Linked DNA regions of Caenorhabditis elegans. The protein of the gene in region 2 interacts with the protein of the main gene of each other region in a pairwise test. Each region holds a gene or a part of one and is shown on either strand. Other genes may lie near its edges.

What was found. Proteins that work in one complex are often made in the same cells at the same time.
Region 1: the proteins of ZK632.12 (region 2) and Y116F11A.1 interact in a two-hybrid assay, tested with the Caenorhabditis elegans proteins (one large-scale study listed by BioGRID).

Annotation. Positions count from the first base shown.
Region 1 is NC_003283.11:19,728,838-19,732,783, forward strand, and holds Y116F11A.1 (ATP-dependent DNA helicase), read left to right. Parts: upstream 1-1,742; 5' UTR 1,743-1,819; intron 1,820-1,864; 5' UTR 1,865-1,891; coding exon 1,892-2,017; intron 2,018-2,623; coding exon 2,624-3,057; intron 3,058-3,113; coding exon 3,114-3,162; 3' UTR 3,163-3,405; downstream 3,406-3,946. Other genes in the region: Y116F11A.3 (Saposin B-type domain-containing protein), read left to right, coding at 201-371, 565-753.
Region 2 is NC_003281.10:9,829,031-9,832,970, forward strand, and holds ZK632.12 (uncharacterized protein), read left to right. Parts: upstream 1-1,771; 5' UTR 1,772-1,807; coding exon 1,808-1,823; intron 1,824-1,870; coding exon 1,871-2,263; intron 2,264-2,742; coding exon 2,743-2,951; intron 2,952-2,999; coding exon 3,000-3,140; intron 3,141-3,186; coding exon 3,187-3,228; 3' UTR 3,229-3,393; downstream 3,394-3,940. Other genes in the region: ZK632.11 (uncharacterized protein), read left to right, coding at 1-141, 187-582.

The sequences.
Region 1 (3,946 bases), on a different chromosome or scaffold from region 2:
TCCTAAAAATCTGAAACATCTTCAGTCAAAAAATGTTTTTTCTTCGAACTTTTTTTCCAGATGAAACTTGAAAAGTTTGAAAAGCCTCTCCATAGAAAACATTTTCCCTTAATTCTTTGTCAATTTCCAAAAAAAAAATCTCGAAAATTTGAATATAAATACCCCTCTCTCCCTTAACTTTTCATATTTTCCTGAAAACCATGAAATTTTCCAAACTTCTCATACTTTTGCTAGTTCTGACTCCATTTTGCTCTGCCGAGTGGTACAACAATCAAACCGATGCTTGCAACTACTGCGGACAAATGGTTTTCGGGTTATTGTTGCAGAATGATGTGGAGACGTTGATTAGCACGAATCGCTTGGTTTCAAAGGTTAGTTCGTTGAGTAGAGCTCGAAATTCTGAGTATTTTGTTATTTTGAAACCCCCTCCCCCTGCGTCTCTCCTCCTCCCACACTCTCTTGACTACTTTACTTCAAACGCGCGTATCTCTACAACGGTAAGAGATATTGAAAAATTTCCAACTGACAAAATGATCAGAATCAAATTTTGCGTCTTTTTTCCAGTACAACTTCTGCCCAAACTACGCCCCCGGATGGCAATTAGACAGTTGTGTGGCATTCCTGGACTACACCTTCAGTTTCTTTTACCGCATCTACTACGCCATCAACTTCCCGATCCGTGACTACATCTGTGTTCCAATCTGTGGAAACAGTGGGGAAAACTTTGAGATTATATTCAAAAAAAGAAGATGATAACGATTTTGATTTTTACATGAAAATGAATAAACTATTGACTTATAGCTCCTTTCTGTGAATGCAAAAGTAATTCTATCCGAAAAGTTTATTGAGAAAAGTAAATGTTCATCCCACGATCGCTGTTAAATTCAATAGATGAACTCTTCGTATTGATAACCAGAGAGTAAAATATGGTGGGAAGCCAGAGAGTAAAATATGGTGAATTTTCTATTTTACCAGGAGAATTGTTAAACTTACCAGGAGAATTTTCAATTTTACCAGGAGAATTTTTAAATTTACCAGGAGAATTGACTGCAGAAAAGTAAATAAAGTAGTCACAAATAATGCTCATCCGCTGCCACACATTGAAGCAACATTACAGTCTCTAGCTGGAAAAAAGATTTATTCCACATTTGACTTGATGGCAGGTTTTTGGCAGATACCATTAAAGGAACAAAGTAAGAAGATAACAGCATTTGCTATAAGAAATGAGCTCTTTGAATGGAATGTTTTACCTTTTGGGTTAGTAATTTCTCCAGCAGTATTTCAAGCATGTATGGAAGCCGTCAATATTTAATAATTTATCATACATAAAACTTGAACTTTCAGAATTTTATATGTCGATTTTCCGTTTTTCTGCCGAATACATTATTTTCATTGTCAATTTTTACTAGTTTTTTTTTCGGATTTTCTTCAAATTTTACAACTTTTTCGTCTTCATTTTCTCTATTTTTTTAAATTAAAAACTTGTTCATCAAAGATTTGTTGATTGATATCTAGAGGTGCGATTTGGTATGGATCATATATGTAATGAGGTGATAATTGCATGGGTCGGCAGCAAACAATTAATATACTTTATTTTGCGATAACATTGTCAAACAAGTATGGAGCATTATGATAGGTGCTAATGACATTGTAATTATATACATGTAGGCGGTGCTCTAGATGATATGTAGATAACAGTAGTATTTAAAAAGCTGAGAGTGTCCAGTCATCACTGAATTTTCAGAACGACTGTGTGTTGTTCATCTGTCTATATTTTTTATTATTTTTTCTGCTCAAAACCAAAAACAAAAAACCTGAGGTAAGTTTTTTAGTTTTTGTCCTTTTTCATATAATCCCCACCCAGTCACATTTTCAGAGGTGTCACCGTCTCATGGAGGGTTCTTCGTCTGTCGGGAAGACGGAGATCACCATATTGACCCATGGAAATCTGCACACAATGGCTAACGACGAACAACAGCAACTTCTGAACAAGATCGTTCGGGATGATTCGCAAGACGTAAGTTTTTTTTTCAAATAGTTTACCGAAATACATTTCTACAATTATTTTCCTAATTTTTAGAAAAATTCTCTATCGAAATTCATTTTATACCAAAACACATTTTTTCTAAAATTCTTTCCCTAATTTTTACAAAAGTGGAGTACCGAAATCTGGGAAATATTTTAGATTGCTCCAAATTTTCCCCTGATTCCGAATATCTATATGTAAAGATTGAAAAAATTTCCCTGTTTTTATATTTAAGCTTGAAATCACGAATTTAATTTGTGCCCCGGTCTATTTTTTTTCAAATACGCGCTCAAAGAAATTTGCACTGGAGCAATATTTTTCAGAAAAAAACCGATAAAAACTCGACAAAAATTAATAAAACTGGTTAATAACTGAATTTGGCGAAAAATAATTTCTTTGGGTGCGCATTTCAATAAAGAGACCGGGTCACAAATGAAATTCGTGATTTCAAGCTCAAATATAAAATCAGGGTATTTTTTAAAATATTTTTTCACATCGATATTCGGAATCAGAAAAAAAATTGAGTAAATTGAAAATATTTCCCAGATTTCGGTATTTTTAATATGTTTTTTGCCAAAATTCGTTATTCGTTTTCAGAAACAAGTATTGTTAATGATAAATGGTGCAGCTGGGACAGGGAAAACATTTTTGATCAAGCTAATAGAAAACTCAATGAACAGAAGCGTAAGAAAAAGAGTAGTTTTGATGACTGGATCTACCGGGAAAGCAGCAAAAGCGATCGGAGGGCGCACACTGCATTGCACAATTGGCCTACCGAACGAAAAACCTGAAGATCTGGAAAGATTGAAATATCAGGCATTCATCTGCGTCACGACACGACTCATTATCATCGATGAAATCACACTCCTAGCGAGCTGGCACCTGGATGCGACGGACATGGTTCTCAAGAGAACGCCGAAGAGGACGGATGCGCTCTTCGGCGGGCTATCGATCATCCTCGTGGGGGATCTTCGACAGCTGAACTTGGGAGGATGGCGTGGAAAGAAGCAGATCGACACAGTCTTCATAAAGTAAGAAATTTTGAAAAAAAAAACATCATCAGAAAAAATATGAACCTAATTTCCAGAGTTGGTGGATACCCCGACCCCATTTCCTGTCAAAATGTGTGCGATTGAGGAAAAGGGGGAAATCATTCTCGACACCGCATTCAAACTGACCCCGGCTATGTTTTACACCGGATTGCCAGTCGAGTCAGAAAATCTAATGATTTATTCCTATCATATAACGGAGCCCGAACGGATAGTGTGATCTTAGAACCCATATATACCCCCTGAGATTAGCGCCGTGATTGAGGAAACAATGAAAAAACCTTACAACTAACCTTTTCTTTTTTAAGTTTTGATAAATATTCTTCTCAAACAGTAGGAAATGTGTATTATGAAATAACTTGGTTTCGCAACCAAAAGCATATCTTTTGAAAATTGTTCTATGTCTTAAAGGTGGACTACGCTCAGTGGGGAAATTGTTTTAAAACACGCCTATGGGGCCACAATGACCAAATATCATAATAAAAAAATTCAAAAAAATTTTCTAAATTTTATATGATTTTTTGAAAATTGAAAAAAATCTCAGTTTTTGCCTAATTCCTATTTGAATTACCGCCAATTGGATTTGTTCGATGGGGCGCGCTTGCACGTTTTTAAATTTATTTATTTTATTTTTTGTTATTTTCCACCGATTTTTAATGTTTTCGGTGTATTTTTGCTTGAATTTTAGAGAAAGAGTCAAAATAAATGCAAATTTTCGATTAAAAAGCAAGCGTACAGGTGTAAAAATCAAAAAGTAACGCTTTTAAACGATTTCGAACCTGAATTAATTAATTTCACTGATTTACACCTGTACGCTTGCTTTTTAATCGAAAATGTGCATTTATTTTGACTTTTTCTCTAAAATTCAAGC
Region 2 (3,940 bases):
TTCAAGAAAAGTGAAAAAGCGGAGAAACGAAGAGCCAAATCAACTCCGAAACATAAAAAGTTCGCTAATGAAGATGATGATGATGTTATAGTAATCACAAGTGATGAAATCAAAATTGACAAGTTCAATACTCCGGGAGAAGTAAATTAAATTAAAATAAAAATTCAATATCAGTTACTTTTCCAGGAAGATTCCATTATAATACTCGACGGCTCTGCTTCAACAGAAGAAAAACACCTTTTGACTCCGATTCGAAAAGATGTAAAACTAGGAGAATCGATGTTTGAATTAATCGGAACTCCAGTGTTTGGTAGCTCTCTTCTTACTCCTGTTGCTCCACTTGAAGCGTTTGCCGTCGGAATTCAACCATTTGAAGCAAGAGAAGAACTTACTGGATGCAAGGGAAACTTCAGAAATCTCATGGACAAATTGAAAGAAATCCGCGAAAATAACTTCGTTCCGGAGCCTGAAGAAGAAGTTATTTTGGTTTCAACGAATGAAATTTCGTCGTCGAATAACTCTGGAACTGCTAAGAACAAAAATAATCAGAACAGGAAAAGAAATAGAAGACATGCTAAATGAATTGGCTTTTTGAAAAATCCTTTTGTTGAATTATTGTTGTTGCTTAAAATTGTTGTTGTTGTTCCATATTTTTACGCAAAACTACCATGATAAAACCTTTTTTCTTGATTTTCCAACCTCTCTCTTGTTGTAAATGGTTCCGAATGTCCACAATCTTCTATTTTGGTCATCAATTATATCTTTATCTCTGCGTTTCTTTCACTCTTGCCGCTTTCCGATGGATTGGTGACACACAGCAAATATCGGTTTTCTCAATTTAAACTAAATTGGTCTAATTGGCTTATGTTTAATCAGATTATTTCGAGAAACCTGTGAATATTAAAAAGATGGTATAGGTTTTGAGGGATTTTTTGCCGAATTTATTTTTTAGAAAGTGATGGAATTTTTTATGATTGCAAATTTTTTTAAAAATTATTTAAAAACGAGCTGAATTATTTTTTGAATTCCCGCGCAAACGAATTCCTAAAGTTTCGACGTTTTCAGGTTATATTATTAAGGTTTTTATTAAATTATTGATTCGAAACATAATTTTGTAAAACTTTCATACATTTTTTCCCGCAAAACAAGTTTACATTATTGATTTGAGGCCAGATTTAGAGTTTCAGAGAAGTTCTTTAGATTAACAAAATAAAATAAAAAGAAACCCCAATTAATATAGCCGGAAAAAGCAAAAAATATCGAAATTGTGTAGATCACTTGCGCGGGAATTCAGAAAAAGTTTAGCCTTTTTAATCATTTTTTTTCCAAAATTGAAAAAAATCATTTAAAACAATGTTCAAATTTTGTAATTTTGTTACAGTTATTTTCGGTAAATATATTGAGATTGTTATTGTTAATTAGAAGGAAAACCTACAAAATCTGCTCCCATACCATGCATAACTATATTTAAGATCCGAAATCTTATTCAAAAAAGTAATAAAATTAATTGAAACCTTTTTTCCAGGCCACCAGTTGTTCTTATCATTCATTCGTGACAATTTATTCATTGCATTCTTTTTCTTTCGTTCAGGCAGCGGTCCACTGGCTTGTCCATCCGATTGTTTGCACATAAAGTGTATGATGACTCATCACATTCCTTTTCCCTCTCTTCTTATTCTGTTCTCACTCAAAATAATTTTTTGTTATGATTTTCAACCTTCTTCGTCTCGAACTAAATTTATGAATTTTTTGAAATATTCAAAGTTTTCAGCGGATTCTTTCCATCGTTTCTAAATCACAAAACACAATGGTTGATCGACTTGGTAAGTTTTATTTATTTTCTTTTATAAAATAATTTATTAAATTTTAGTGAATAGTGAAGTGAATTCCCGTCGAATGGCTAACGTAGAACAATGCTTTGGAAAAATGGGAGAACAATTGTCGGTATTCGGACGAGTTCTTGTCGGAGAAGGTGTTCTTGTGAAAATGTGCCGAAAGAAACCGAAGCAACGGCAATTCTTCTTGTTCAATGATATTCTTGTATATGGAAACATTGTGATTTCGAAAAAGCGATATAATAAGCAAAGAATTCTAAGATTGGAAGGTGTACAAGTAGAAGATCTGGAAGACGATGGAATTGAGAAACATGGATGGATTATTAAGACACCTGCAAAATCGTTTGCAGTTTATGCAGCAACTGAAACTGAAAAACGAGAATGGATGTTGCATATTGAGAGATGCGTTACAGATCTCCTTGAAAGAGGTAATACACGAAAATTATTTTCAAAAAATTTCCACCAAAAAATTGCAGAGAAAGTTTGAAACCACCGTAATCTTTAAAGGCGCTTACCATTTTCCGTTTCAAAAAATCTTGTCGTTTCGAGACCGAAAACCGTATTTTTAATGCAACAATCGCAACATTTTTCGTCTAATTAATATTAAGCTTAAATAAGTCTTAGGCGCATTGTGGTCTTTTTATTTAAAAAAATGTTGGCAGCAATGTTCAATTTAATTTATAAATTGTGATGCAAAATTGGTCCATAGATCGACAAGTTACAGTAATTTGTTGTCCGCCTGGCGAGACCCATGCGCCTAAGATAGGTGAAAAATTCTCATATTTAAATGACCAATAATATACGTTCTACAAAAAAATTGGGAATCACCATATCTCTAAATTAAAACGGTTTTTTAGATAAATTATTTTTTTCTATTAAAAATACAATCAAAATTTTCTACTTTCAGGAAATAAGCAAGCCGCGACTGCTCACGCAGCTGTATGGGTTCCCGATGGTGAAGCAGTGAAGTGTATGGTCTGCGGGAAAACTCAATTCAATCTGGTTCAAAGAAGACATCACTGCAGAAATTGTGGACGTGTCGTGTGTGGCGCCTGCTCATCGAGAACATTCCGTATTGACAATGTACATAAGAAGCCTGTCCGAGTTTGTGATCATGTACGGTGAAGTTTGACACTTTATCGTCTAAATATCATGATTTTTCAGTGCTTTGACAGTCTGAGTAGTGCCACACCAGGACAAGAAGAAAGTGAACCAAAAACGGGAAATCGCTTGCACCATGAGGATTCCTCCTCGGATAGTGAAGACGAGGTCAATGGTAGTGGACGATCGAGTAATGAGAGCCGGGTATACTGAATATTGCCTAATCTTTCAATAAACATACAAATTTCAGCCAACATTCTACCGTGAGGACGTTCAGCAGCCGGCAACATAGTTCAACGCATATAAACTACGATGAAAATTCTAAAATCCACGTCCTCATTCCTACTACTAAATTAATATTATATTTTCTTAAACGTTCCTGTGATATACAGCAATTGTACGTATTTTTTTTTGTTGCTTCCAACGACTTTTACAATTCCTGAAAAAAAGTTATTTCCTTTTTCTTCAATTCAAGATTATTCAGAACTGCACAAAATTAAAACGACCACATGACAGAAGGAATCATTTTAATAATCATGAATTACAGAAATGATCAAATTTCTTGTCCTTACAAGAAACAGCGCAATTAACTGAAGTGTTCAGAGAAACGTATGGTCCATTCGGCTTGGAATCATATAAATGTTCTTAAATTATTAAAAGTAAAATAAATGTTTTATTTACATATGATTAGTGAAATCAGAGCACAAAAGTGTGCAATGAAAAATAAATTTTATTTTCTGGAGTACTGTAAGCGGGCACATGGTGTATTGTACGCAGAGTTCTTCGAGTGTTTGCGTATCCACGTTGTTCTCCACGTGGACAAAACGCGCGGCACGTTTACTTTCTGAAAATTCGTTTTATTTTTGCATTACTGTCTTCTTAAAAGCTGAAAATGGCTGCAAACGAAGTGTAAATTTCATAAATTCCTAAGCTTTTATTCATATATATATATATATATATATTTCATCATGTCCTATTTTTGCAGTGATTCCATGGAACCAGGA